Linked DNA regions of Rhinolophus ferrumequinum. The protein of the gene in region 1 interacts with the protein of each later gene in a biochemical or structural test. Links are inferred from orthologs where the notes say so. Each region holds a gene or a part of one and is shown on either strand. Other genes may lie near its edges.

Region 1 (7,290 bases):
GTCAACTCTAATTGAAAAATTTAAAAGGGGGGTAAAGATCAATAATATTGTGATAGTGCAGTACAGTGTCAGATGGTTGCTGAACTTATGGTGATCACTTTTTTTGCACAGGGAATAAAATCAATAATGCGGTAATAACACTGGTTAGAGCTAGGTGGGTACTGTTGAATAACTATGATGTACACCTCAAACTAATATAATAGTGTATGTTAGCTGTATTTTAATAAAAAATCTTTAAAATAAATAAAAGAAAAAACCTAAGAAAATCTGAATAAACTACGGACTTCATTAATAATAATGTATCAATATTGGTTAATTGTAACAAATGTAGCACACTAATGTAAGATGTTAATAATAGGGAAAACTGGGTGGGGCTATATGGGAACCCTCTGCATGATCTCAATTATTCTATAAATCTAAAACTATTCTAAAACAACAAAGTCTATTTAAAAAAAAATCTAAGATGGCTTCAGGAATTGGGGAGGAAAAGAGTTATTAAAGACTTTTAAAAAGTAAGAAATGAAAAGCCATAACACTCTGCAATGTGAATTAGAACATAAATACTCAAGAAATTCAAAGGAAACCTGGAGATACTGGTTATAATCTCTATTCATACTAAAATCTTCTTATGAGAGATATTAATGGATTTTTCATGCAAACTAAACAGCTCTGTATCATAACAGAAGGCAGGCAATAACATCCCTAGAGTACACAATAAGCACTTTAGATCCTATTTATCAATAATGACCAATAAGCTATTATTTTATGTATGGCACTATCCTGAAATTACCATAAAACACCTGGACCAGGATCAACCTCATAGGTTAATCAAGTTACTTAAAGAAACAAGCTTATACCTACTTCAGGAAAATTCAAAAGCAAAGAGAAGACATCATTTTTCCTTGGTAAGGGGGAAGGGGAAAGATTATGTATGAAAGGAGAAAAATGATTTCTCAGGTCCAACTGGAAGCAATTTTGCAACTAGTATTAACCTACTTTAATGACATACAAAATAGTATAAATAGTTCAAGGTAGTAATAAAAGCTCTGAATTTATATCAGTTATCTTCTTTCCAACCAAAAGATAACAAATGTTTTCTATAGTCTAACCTAAGACACCAAGTGGGTAACAATGTTTGATGACTTGTGAGAAACTAATCTCTCAATGTGTGAATTTTAAAGATGGTCATGATAAGTGTGAGAAAAACAAAGAATGATAATCTCTAAATTGCCAAGTGTCAAGTTTGCATAATACAGCATAAAAATGAAATTACAAGAAGTAATTTTAGAGACAGCCATCACAAAACTAGGATCTTGTATGGAATACAAACTATAACAACAGCAGAAGCCTGACCAAGTAAATGAGAATTTCACTCATCAGATACTATGGAATATTAAACATAAAGGAGTCCTTTAGCAGAAGGGGTATATTACATATTTCGATCTAATTTTCAAAACTAGATGATGAATCTATTCTTCTTACTCTACTCCAATACTCCCAAAGGAAATCCACTAAACAAAGATATTTGTTATTCTCAAGCATTCTTTCACAGAAATCCTACATCTATAACTGGAAAATACTCAAGGATAAAAGGAATACTTAACATTTTCCCAGTAATTCCTGTATGCACCACCATGAGGAGAATCAGATACTGTTTCATGTTGAAAAAGGAGAGGTGAGATGTGAAAAATTCCAAGTAAAACGATCATGACATAGCATCTGGCAGAGACCAGAAAAGCATCAACACTGCCAAAAGAATTGTCAAGGATGAAAGTCAAGGGAAGAAAATGAGGTTTTCCAAAAAGCCACAGCCTAACCCAAGGGGTAAAAATTGCCACTGCCATCGCCAACCCTCTCACCCCTCAACCACTCCATCCTCAAGTCGCCTCCAATTCAGATATATGTCTTCTATAACCCAGACTAATTCCCCATCCAAGTGAAAACCATCCAGGAATTTTCTACGACACCCCCCCCCTTCCATGAGATCCGCACTTCTCAGGGCCAAGCCTCTGGGGAAAACAACGCCCAGATCCTACCCTCCATGCCCAAGGTTGAAGAGGGCCGGTTCCCAGGAGTGGGGCTTCCCGGGGTGGGCCTCACAGAGCTGACGAACTGGAATAAGAGCAAGGAATAAGGGTGGGGCTCAAGAAAGGGGGCTGGGGTGGGTGAGACCCGAGGAAGAAAGGGATGGACAGGAGGCTGGGCGGGGTGGGAAATAGGGAGGCAGATCGACGGAAGAGGGTCGGGCTGCGGGGAAAGGAGACGCCGGAGTCGGGCACGAAAGGGTCAAAATCCGACCGACGGATCAAGGCGAAAAGGAACCGGTGGCTAAGAGGGGTCGGCGAACCCCGGGAAGGGCTGGGGGTGGAACGAAGCGCTAAGGCGAGGCCGGCAGGGAGCCTCCACGGACTGAAGGGCCGCACTGGGGGCGGTGCGGGGAAGCTGCGGCCAGCCGCCAGGAGTGGGGTAGCCACGCACTCACCGCTCTGCTCCCCCAGGAACACCAGCTTGAATTTCCTCAGCGGATTCCCGAAGTCTCCGCCCGCGGACATGATGGAACCGGAGGAGCTGCCGCCGCTTCAGCCCAGAGACCTACCGGACCGACGCTACTCCAATCGGTTGATGAAAAGGGTGAAAGGAAGGGCGGGCGCCGAGCTCTCTCGGCCCCAGCAGGGCCGACGGCGGAGCAAGGCTAGGGGGCAGGACTGCTCTCCACAGATAGGCAGCCGTCGCCACCGCCTCCCCGCGGAGTCGCCTGGCACCGACCGAGGCCCGCGGCTGGGAAGGGAAGGAGATTGGTGTCAGAAGCAGTCAGGGGTGTGCTCAGGGTTCCCAAGGCTAGTGCTGTTCTGTTCTCAGCACCAGGCACGGAGAGTGAGGTGAGAGGCAGAGGGTGGCGGGGCCGGAGCCGCAGACGTCTGGAACCTCTGACACGCAGCGCCTCAGCTCCCACAGCTGCCGCCGCCGCAGGCCAACCTGCTGAGTGCGCGAGCCTCTGGCGCGGCGCTGGGCGAGCCTGGGCGCGAGCCTGCCGCCCCGCCGCCCGCCGGCGTGCGTGCGTGGGAGCGTGCGCGTGCGCGCCACAGCCAGCACTTTCCTGGTTTAGCCTGCTCTCCCGGCTCCTCCCGCGCCGCGGAGACGTCGGCAGGTTTGGTTTCGACTCGCGTCAGGGGAAGCAAGGAGGCGGGACGGAACTTGGGGAAGTGAGGAGGTGGAATAAGGAGGGGGTGGAATACGTTACGTATGGGATGAGCCAATCGCGAGAGACCAAAGGCGGGCAGGGACCGGAGTGAGGTGGCGGCGCGAGAGCGCGCGCGGCTGCCGCGCGGTGGAAAGCGTTGTACGGTGGCGGCCATGCGGAGTGTGGCGCGTCGCAGCCTGCGGGGAGGGGAAGAGGGGAGGGACGGAGGCGGGGCCGGAAGGTGATACATTGAACCCAGCATTGTACAGGTGGGGTTAGAGAGTCGTTAGACGTGTACTAGGCTCCTTTATCCTGAGCCCTCAGCCCTGTCTCACATTCCTCAGATCCGCCCTTCACCCGTGCACCTACCCACCTTCATCTTCTTAATCTTCTCACGGTATCTTACTAGGTACATGCTCTGCTGTTGCTCCCAGGAGTTTCATAACTACAGTAAGAAGCAGGGCCTCCATATTTTTGCAGATGAGGAAACAGGCTCAAAGGAAGGAAATAACTTAGAAAACCCACAAAAACATAAAGTGGAAGCCAGGTTTTGGTTTTTCCCCCCATTGAACCTTTGCAATCTCCTTATTGATAAGCCCATCACTTCCCTGGCTTGACCTGACTTGGTCTTCTGTGCCAGCCTTTGTTCCTCAGATAGTGATAACTCTAGGTGCCACCTTCTGTGCTAGAAAAGGATTTAGACGTAAAACAAACCCGTCATTTCACCGATGGTGAAACTAAAGCCCACGTAGGAAAACAGCTTTGCAAAAAGGTCACACAACAAATTAGAGGTAGAGCCTGTTCTTGAGACCAAATGTGAGGAAGGGGATATTTTAAAGATCATCCGTTCCTCCTAAAATAGGGCTTCTGAATCTACCGTTGGTGGACCTCTCTTAAATGAAATATCTGAAACGTGCATTTTCCTGTGGAGAGAATCATAGCATTCAGCAGATTTTCAACATAGCTCATGCCCCAAAAAATGCAGGCTAGTGTCACAGTCAAGAGAAGCCTAAGGAGATATGACAACTAAGTATAATGTGGATATAATTAACATGACAACTGAACATAAGTTTAAACTGAATGAGATTCTGGAACAGAAAAAAACATTAGGCAAAAACGAAGAAAATCTGAATAAAGATGGACGTTGGTTAATTATGATGTATCAATATTGGTTCTTTAATTGTAAGAAATACACTAATGTAAGATATTACATGAGAGGGAACAGTGGGGGAGAGGTATATGGGGACTTTCTGTACTGTCTGCTCAATTTTTCTGTAAATACAAAGTTTTAAAAAACACCTATTAATAAAAGATGAATAAATAAAAGGTTAAGAATCACTGAATTAGAGAAATTGGCATCTACACTTCACCGTACTTCAGCCATACTTGACTAGGCTATTGGATAGCATCCAAAAAAGTAATCTCTGCGCTTGAAGAGAACACTTTTAAAAACTGGTATCAAAAATACTTCCCAAGTTAATAATGAAACAATAAGTCCTTACATTTGTATATAGTATCTTACTAGTCACAAAACACATTTACATACATTTTCTCATTATTTGGAGGTTATTATTTACTTAGCTATAGAAATGGCAGTATCAAACAAGTAAGTGTCTTCTCAAACTAGGCATGAATTGCTGAATTAGAATAAATTAAGGGGAGGAACAGAGATTCGTAAAATATCCATTCTAGCCTATCAAGACAACAGTTATATCCCCAAGCCTCCGTCTCCATCAAAATTTACTAACTTCTGATTCCTCTCAGCTAAGTGGCAGAAAGATTTTGGAACATGCATCTAAAATGAAATGGTAAAAACCTGAGTTGTAATATGGACATTTGATTTTTTTTTAAAAAAAATTCATTTTAAAAATAGCTTGTCAGGTCTTGGGAGGCTTTTGCTACCAGTAACTCAGAACCCTGGCACACACAGAGAACACCCAATACCAAGAGATTATTTAAAAAGAAAACCTCTTTCAAACAAGAGTTGCTATTTTTTCTTTCTGATGGGTACCAGATTTTCATTATGTTTCCTGAAATAGCCTTTAAAGTAACATCTGAGGATTGGAACTATAATTACTTTGTACCTCCTCGGGAACTTTATGAATCAATTTCTCCATGCTGCTCTGGTCCCTATGGTCACCTAGAAAGGTGATGTTATTTCTATTATTTTGAAGAGAGGTGTGGTGTAATCTACCTCTTACCTCAGATGTTCGAATATTTTAACCTAGCATTTTGCACTGACACATATACAGCCTCATTCTTCTCTGAAGCTGCGTTCATATTTATCTGTGTAAATAATGTTTTGCCTTCAGAGCAAAACATATGGTCTAAAAGTTGCATATTAAGTGCTACACGTTCATCAAATGAAGAAATTACTTGGGAGAAGGAAATTAAAGAGGCTTTTTCCAAGGGCACTTTCGCCAACACTTTCACCTCCATAATTTTCTACACACTATTCTCTTTACCTTGAACACTTTTCCCTTCCTTCTTCCCTCCCCCCAATTCCTACTCATCCTTCAGATATCATCTCTAACAAGTCTTCAAGAAGCTTTCTCTGTCTGCTCCCACCTCCATTAACAGTATGAAGTACCCCTGCCTGTCCTCCCATTGTACCCTAGTCTTCCCCATCACTTCATTGTTATTAAGTGTCAGTCTTCCCCACCTGACTAAGCTCTGTGAGGTCCTGTATTTTCAACACTTGTAGAGTGCTTGCTACATAGTAAGCATGCAACAGATATTTGCTGAATAAATGAGAGAGATTATTTTAGCTTTCTTCAAAGGTTCAATGGAATTCGGGCACGTGGAGATGGAACGGCAAGAGTGTTTTGGAGAAAGAGAGCATCACTCAAAATCAGAGAGGACAACTTTTGACAACTCCAAATCGAAAGTACCTAGAGCAGTCTTCTTTGATAAATTTAAAAGGGATCGTTCATTTGAAGCCCATGGATGTGTCCAGGAAGCTACCACACAGAAATTGTAATATAACTGCAGCTTGTCTTTCTGCCTCTAGAGACACAAAGCTTCTTGAAGGAGGACTGAGATTTCATTGTATTCCTGTGGCAGACACTACTGTTTGTCCAACAATACACACACACTTCCACATTATATATTGGTAATGACAGATACTTTTCCAGGTTCCCTTCAGCTAAGTTATAGGCACGTAATTTGATCTGAGCCAGTGGCAGATGAAGAAATATCCCAGAGACTTAGAAGATAAATTATCTTCCCTGATGAAAAGAGATAGATGAGGAAAAAGTGCCATTTTTCAGCCATTGGATGTGGTTATATAAGGACAAGATATCTAGAACTAAGACATCTTGTGAACATTAATATATAATCCTGAAGACAAAAGCCAACCCATTGATGATGCTAAGCGGAAAACTTAAAGTCATCATTGAGCCGCTGTACCTCCCCTGGAACTGGCCTTCCTCTGGCTTCTTTTTAGCAAAAAAATAAATGTCTTTATATTTAGTAATGTTTTCACATATGTCTTTGTTATTGTTACTTGCAGCTGAAAGCATCTGATGTTCTCATCTTTTGATCCCTTTAAACACCTCGCACAGTTCCTTGAACATTAGGCACTCAATACTATGTGTGTGTATGGGTGTGTGTGTGTGTGTATTATATATATTAATATATGTTACACATATAACAATGTATATGATATACATAATACAGTAATAGCTACCAAACTGGAACTGCTTTTTTCTATTTACTGCTCCCTAAAAAGGATTTATTATTCTTGGAGAGGCAGGAAATCAATAGAAGGAGAAAAACTGTCCAGGGATTGAAAAGGATTGAAATCATATTGCTCATATTTGAAACAAATAATATCTCTGGCAGGAATTCAAATTGTATCAAATGTGAAGCCCTTCTACCCACTCTGCAGGTTATTATAATCATTGATACTAAAAATAATAGTGAGTCAATATACAAAGCATAAAAATAACAGATGCTCAATAATTCCAGGTGACCAATTAAAGGAGCACAACTAACACAAGGTATAAGGTTTAAACAAGTTTTAAGCAAGGTTTAAGCACGTCTCATTTTAAAAGGACTATAAGGGAAAAAAAGAGAGGGGAGGCCTCATGGCAAAACCTGTTTTCCAA
Region 2 (7,060 bases), on another chromosome or scaffold:
CACTTGCATGACTGTCCTAACAGCACACAGCCTGGCGAGAAAGGCAGCAACACTGCTGGGTGCTGGTTCTCAGAAACAAAACAACCTGTAAAGACTGAGCCATGTTACCACACTGAAAATCACTAATGTCCAGTGTGGACTTAGTACAGTATTTTTCTGTTGACATTCCCATAAACTGGTCCAATTATTTGTAAGTGAATCATATTTGTTGACAGAGCCTAAAAATAAGCCAAAGGTTTATTTTATATTTGGCTTCATAGATATAATGCAACATCATTTACTATATATAGCTGGATACGAACAAAACTTTCTTCTGGAAAATCAGAGCACTCACAAAGTATATTTTTCAAAAATGACTTCTGTGTGACATCATCACTGGAATATCTTCATTTGCACAATTATTTTGGATTTACTTTTTAAACAGGAAGAATTATTGAGACAGACTTAGCTGATTTAAGTAATTCTCCCAACTAAGTACACATGATATTAGCTAAAGGATAAAAATAACAGGTCTCACTATCAAATAATGAAGTATAATCATTATTGTATTACCCTACTAGTGTATAATTGTATAAACCAGTCATTAGGAACCTAAAACTGAATTACGTTTATGCTAAATGCAACTCAAATCACATATGTAAACAAGTATCATTTGGTAAAAATAATCCTGATAAATTCTTATTAACCTCCTGCTATACAGAAGAAAATATGCCTCAAAATTTTTATAGAAAAAATTATAATTGGTATTCGCATTATTCTGTATTAAGAAACCAGTATTGTACTATTCCTACAAAACACTGTTTTCTCATTTTTCCCATTATTGCTGAAGAAAGTAATACAGGTAGTTTTTAATACTAGTCACTTCCTATACTTTCTAATTTTCTTAGTCTTTCTCTGACACTAACCAATATTGACTAGTGAACGCTAGATAAAGGTATCTTCTTCCAGTATAAATTTATTATTTCATAAAATATCTATTGCACACTCACTATGTTAGGCTTTGCATTAAACACTTTGGATGCAAAGTAAATTAAGACAGATTCCTTGCCTAAGAGCTCATGGTCTAGTAATAGCAAGACAATTGCATTAACGTTTACTACGCAGGGAAGGGCAATGGCACAGAAAATAACCCTAGAAGAGTTGTTTCAATCGAGCAGAGTCAGTTAACAGTTACATTCCTTTTCATTAAATTTCATTCAATTATGTCTACGTCCTTTATCAAGGAGGTGATGGCTTAACACTGACTGGTTTGTACTTCCTCTTCGTGGCAAAGCAGTGGTGATAGGGGTAGACAACATCAAAACATCTCAGCATCAAAACATCTCTGAGAATTACACTCACCATCCTGTTTCCTGACTTCACAAGATTTAGCATAACTGAATTTAAACATATCAGCCTAGGACCTAATCTAAGTTGGAAAATACCAGTAAGGTCCAGCTGTTATTAAGACATGTACGTGGTCAGACAAACATGAACTAGAAATGTACAGCCGGATACACAAAAATCAGATTTCTAGGTAGGATTTTTACCATATATTTATTTTTTGGTATGTAGGCATCAGAATAAAAATAAGATGTACCTAAAAGTACAAATGCTCACCATATTATATACTAAATTAGAAGGCAAACTGATTAGTTCTATCATAATATTTTTAACAACTCAAAACAATATGCCCCTCCCCAAAAAACTGTTTGAGAACATTATAAGACATTATTGATAATAAAACATTATTGATAATATTATATACCAAATTAAAGTTAACATTTAAAATGTCTCTATGCACCTAAAAAATAAAGACTTGCCACAAAGAAAAGCAGTGTGTACATTTAAATTTATAACTGGTTACTCGCTACCCATAGTGCCTCAGGAATCAGATAAAACAAGACTGAATTCCTTCAATAATATGTGTATTCTTATGAGTGTTTGATAGTAAATCAAAGCATATTCAGTATTTTCTTCCAATGCATTAGCCAGTCTTTAAAAGAAGCCAAATACCAAAAGACTAAAGAGGACAAGTGTCTATTTGTGATATTCCAGTTTTATAAATACAGCCATTTCAAAAAGAAGAGCCTCATTTGAAATGCACAGCTCCCACATACTTGATCTATACCATTCTTCGGACCATTGGTAGGAGGGTTAACTATTCCCTGGTCAGGGTGACCTTATAAGACTAGTGCAAGGCCCAGCCTGCCTCACTCAGGTGATATCAAGGCAGGCGGATCACCCAGCAGAGTTGTTTTTCACCCGCAGCCAGTTGACAAGAATAACTAAAGCCAAGGAGAATCAAGATTGCCCGGCCTTTGTCAAATGAGATTGGCGGGATGTTCTAACAGCTCCTTCTCTCATCAGAGTGGTTACATTCAGCAGAAGGCGGAGAGGTGCCATAGATTGTACCTCCTGCAATTGTGGGTCCTCAGCACAAACCTACTTATCACCTTGGGGATTATGGGATTGTCACGGAAACCTGGGTTTGCACTAACAGCAGTTTTCAGAAGTTTGATTTACACATTCCAACCTAGTAGAATGTCGCCTTAGAGTGCTGAGACTTCAAGACTCTTATGAATCTCCCTCCCCCACAGCCACTGCATCCCAAATTCCTGCTTATACATTCATTTCCTGGGCAATTTTCCTCTTATGGGAAAAACAATGGACTCTTTCAATCTTCTCTTATCAACAAAGGGCTCTAAGATGAAGAAACAATCCTTTCAATCGCATCCTTATCGACTTCTTTATAAATGATGAGTGGGCGTGGGGGGGCGCGGGGGGAGAACAGAGGAGGGAGTAGGTGACACACAACTCACCTCTTTGAGCTGCTCCAGCTCCTGTTTAAGGCTGTCGTACTCAGCCTCCAGCTCGTCATACTGTTGTTTGAGAGTCAGCTTCTCTTCCAGGACCACCAGCCCGTACTCGGCAGCCTGGATCTTCTCATGGGTGGTCTCTGTGAGCTCCTTCGTCAGCCTCTCTATCTCAGTCTTATAATGGTCCACAGTCTGCAATACCTCTTCTGCGGCCATAGCCCCGGTGGATGGAGGCAGGAGGCGGGTGACAGGGTGGGGGAGATGGATGCAAAGCAGGCAGGTAAGGGAGAAGGAAATGAGGAGGGAAGGGTAAAAATGGAAAAGAAAAAGTGTAGCTGGGTGAACGAGCAGAGCAATGCAGCTAGCTACCCTACCCGAGAAACTGACGTGAAATGCAACATGGAGAATGCAGGGGAAAGGATCAGGGGCAAGGCGGCAGCTGCTGCCGCATGTGTCCTCTGGGCCTGCCCCTGCGTGCGGTCAGCAGCCGTGCGGCATGGCCCGGGTTGCAGCGGCCGGAGGCGGCGTGGGGCTCGGGATTCTGCTTATTCAGAGGCGCCTGGCCGCCATGTCTCCCGGGCAGCGTCACTGCGGTCTCCCCCAGGCCCCGCGCGCTTCGCCTCGCGTCTCACTCGCTCGCTCCACCTGCTCCCTCTGGCTGTGCTGCAGCCGGTGCGGAATGATGCAGTCTCCGGCCCGCTCCCTCCCTTCACGCCTGGCCGGGACACCGAGCAGGGGGCGGGGAGGCGGATGGAGTCAGCGCGGGGGGAGGAAGGAAGAATCAGACGGTTACATCCCGAGGCACCTCCCGCCGGGTGCGCTGGGCGCCGCCGCTGTCCACTGCACCCGGGGGCGCGCGGGGAGGGAGCCTCCGCCCTGCTCCACCGTCAGTTCCTCGCAGGGCTTTGCCCGAGTGGACATCCAAGCCCGCGACAGTGCGTGGGCGACCCTGGTCTCTCGCTAAGCTGTGAGCCCAAGCTCTGCAAACTGTCTGGAATCGGCTCCTTTCCCAAAGAAAAGCAAATAGGAACTAACGCGCTCGGGGCTCGAGCATCCTTCTCGCTGCCTGAGCTCTCAGCGTTCTTCCCCGGCCTCTGGCACCCAAACGCTGTGCTTCCAAAGCCTGCCAGGCGCGCCCCAAGGCTCCTGTCTCCTTCTCTCCCCCTCCTTTCCCCTCCTTTCCCTAGCTTGGCCATGGTTCACCTCCCACTCTTAACAAATAACCTTATTGCCACGTCAGGGAAGCCTTCTTTAAAGATTGCTTGACCTCGCCCAAGCTTTCTAGAAAGAAGCCTCTAGGTGCCATTACGTATTTTATGGATTCTTCAGTAAAGGAAAACTGCATGAAATTTACAATATATGATGTCAACAACACCCTACAATAAACATGTTTTAAATAGTAAGAGCTAATAGTTCTTGAGACCATGTGCCAAGTATTCCTCTGAGTATGGTACACACATTCTCTCCCAACCTAACAACTCTTTGAGGTAGGAACCATTATCCCCAATTTACAGGTGATGAAAGATAGACACAGGGAACTTGAGTGATTTGCCCAAAGTCAGGCAACTCTGAAGTGGTAAAACCAAAATTCAATCATAATGCCAAAGCCCTGAACTGGATCATTATGTTGGCTTCACCTTCACTTATTACGAATACAAACCCAGCAGCTAAATATTAATTGCTCAAAAAATGACCGCTTTAATCAGTATGAACAGTGACAATGAAAAGTCACAAAAGGAGGTCAAGGCAAAGTCAGTGAAAGAGAATAAGAAGAGAGAAGAGAGGAGAATAGACAACAACTAAGAAGAAAGGAAGCAATAGGAGCAAAAAGAGCCATTTCTGTGTAACTAGGAAGCTGTAGGATCAATAGACCAATGGTCTGACCAGTTCCTTGCCTCTCCCCTGGGTGGCACTTATTACACAGCTTTTTCTCAGTGGCCAGGTGTTCAAACATACACACACACACACACACACACACACACACAGAGCTTCCTCAGTTAGAAAGCAGGACTCAGCTCTCCCATCATTGTGTGCATGGTAAAGAAAAAAAGACAGTTGCTGATGGTGTGATTTCCAGTGCCTCCCAAAACAGACAAGAAAGCTCCCTTCCAGATGCTGCCAATTACAACATAATATTCTGTGATAAATATAAATAGATAAATAAATAAATGGAGCAAACACCTGACACTTGCGACCACCATGAACTCTAACGTGGCAGAGAGCGGGGATGATAATGACCACATCATTTCACCTATGCATTGCACTGGGAAGCCACACATGTGTGCTCCTGTAGCACGCATCCTCTATCACAATGGTGAATGATCATGAACTGCTGAAGAGAAAAGAAAAGAAACCTGTAATTGCAGCTAGCTAAAACTGCCTTCCTCCCAGTCTGCCCCTGGCGGCATCTCTCCACAAAGTGTAAGCATAGCCTTTTTAAAGGGATCATAACACTTGGAGTAGATTGCCTGCGTCTCCCTTTCCTTTGGGTAGAATGAAGAAGGGAGTTTGCCTCTGTGACTTCCCTTTTTCTAAGTTCCATTGCGGCCCATTCCCTATGCTCTATGCTGTACCATTTTCTGATTGATACATTTTTGTTAATGTATTCAGTCTGACTTCATTCAGACATGTACACTATCCTAACAAGATTTTGCTTATTACAACTTTGATCCTTTCTATGTTGGTATTTAACTTGAAAAAATTAAACTTATTTACTTATACTGTACACCATACTCTTGTAGTACTGTATAGTTACATTTCTCTCTCTCATGTATATGTCATACATATCATGTATATGTAAGATATAGACATAGAAATGTCAGTGTAGGTGTAAATACAGATAAATAAGAATAGATTTGGATATAGATAGACATAGATATAGATGTATCAATGACAAGTATCTAGAAAATTATTTCTTAAACCATTCTTGGAAGTAGAGATTCCTCGTATTTCTTTATCCTAACAGCCTCCAATTGCTTATGGAACTTTCTCACTTACAAATATTTAGGAAAAATTGTATTTTGTGACTTAGTACCTCAAACCATCTTCTCACCAAACCAACTTTGTCAGCATAAATATTGCATTCTCTTGCTCTCAGTCATTCATTCAAGTATTAAACAGATGTTTAGTAAGTACCCATTATGTCCTCAGTACAACAGTAGGCACTGTGAAATCAATGACCAATGTGATGTCAATGGTCAATGATCCCTGATCTCATGGAGCTTTTATTATGGGAGGGACAAACTAACAAAACAGACCCAAAAAACCCAAGCAACAACAAAGAGATAAGTTCATACACTAATTCCAAGTTATAACATTGACAGGCGGGATCCAGCATAGTGGTTAAGAGCAGAAGCTAGTCCGCTTTGGTCAAATCCAACTCTGCCCCTTACTGGCTGTGTGTGCCTCCGTGGCCTCCTTCTGAAAGATGATGATATAACTACTAATGAGCTTGTTGTGAATAGAGGAATATTTGCCACATCGGAGCAGCATATATGTTCAGTTGTTACGTTTTTGAAGGAAAACAGGGTAAGATTTAAGCAGGTTAGAATAAGGAATTTAGGAGTTATACACCTGAAACTAATACAATGTTACATGTCAATTATATCTAAAGTTTTAAAAGTATATGGTCTTTCAAAATGCAAACATTCACTGAGTTAAAAATTTCCCACGGCAAATGAATTTCACACTACACAAGAACCAGAAGAGTCAGGATTCTTCTGTTCAGCCTCTCGGCATGCATTAGAAAAATCTGTAAATAGCCCAACTAACTAAATCAGGAGCTCCCCTCCTCCCCACACTGGTGTCCCAGGGCATGGTTACAGAGGATGCTCATATAAGACAATGAATGAGGGATCTAGCAAAGTCTTGTAGTGGGGCAATCAACAGTTTAATGCAAGTTCGGGAAGGAACCAGGCCCTCCCTACATCTCTACGAGAAGAAACAGGTGTAGAACCTGGGACACTGGTCACGGGCATGTTGCTATTCACATGCAAGTATATCTGAGAGGGAAGGAAAGTTCAGTCCCCAAACCTCTCCTGGGCACAGAAATCCCCTCGTCCTGGACACCCTCTCTTCTTGGGCAACTCCAGGGATCAGCGTCTAGTTGTGTGAGGGCCCCTGTGGAAATGCTGATTGCTACCCTTCTCTCCTACCTGTGTTCCCCACCTTGTCTTTATGCCACCCCACCATACTCCTACCCCCCAAACAAATCAAATCGAAACAAAACTTATTTTCTTCTTCCTTTCCTTTGATTTGATGGC

What was found.
Region 2: the proteins of RAB6A (region 1) and BICD1 form a complex in vitro, tested with the Homo sapiens proteins (3 studies listed by BioGRID). The link is inferred for Rhinolophus ferrumequinum from reciprocal best matches to the Homo sapiens genes RAB6A and BICD1.

The regions. Positions count from the first base shown.
Region 1 is NC_046294.1:48,923,424-48,930,713, forward strand, and holds the start of RAB6A (ras-related protein Rab-6A), read right to left. Parts: upstream 3,066-7,290; 5' UTR 2,553-3,065; coding exon 2,483-2,552; intron 1-2,482. UniProt on the Homo sapiens protein: The small GTPases Rab are key regulators of intracellular membrane trafficking, from the formation of transport vesicles to their fusion with membranes.
Region 2 is NC_046293.1:41,120,082-41,127,141, reverse strand, and holds the start of BICD1 (protein bicaudal D homolog 1), read right to left. Parts: upstream 3,015-7,060; coding exon 2,802-3,014; intron 1-2,801. UniProt on the Homo sapiens protein: Regulates coat complex coatomer protein I (COPI)-independent Golgi-endoplasmic reticulum transport by recruiting the dynein-dynactin motor complex.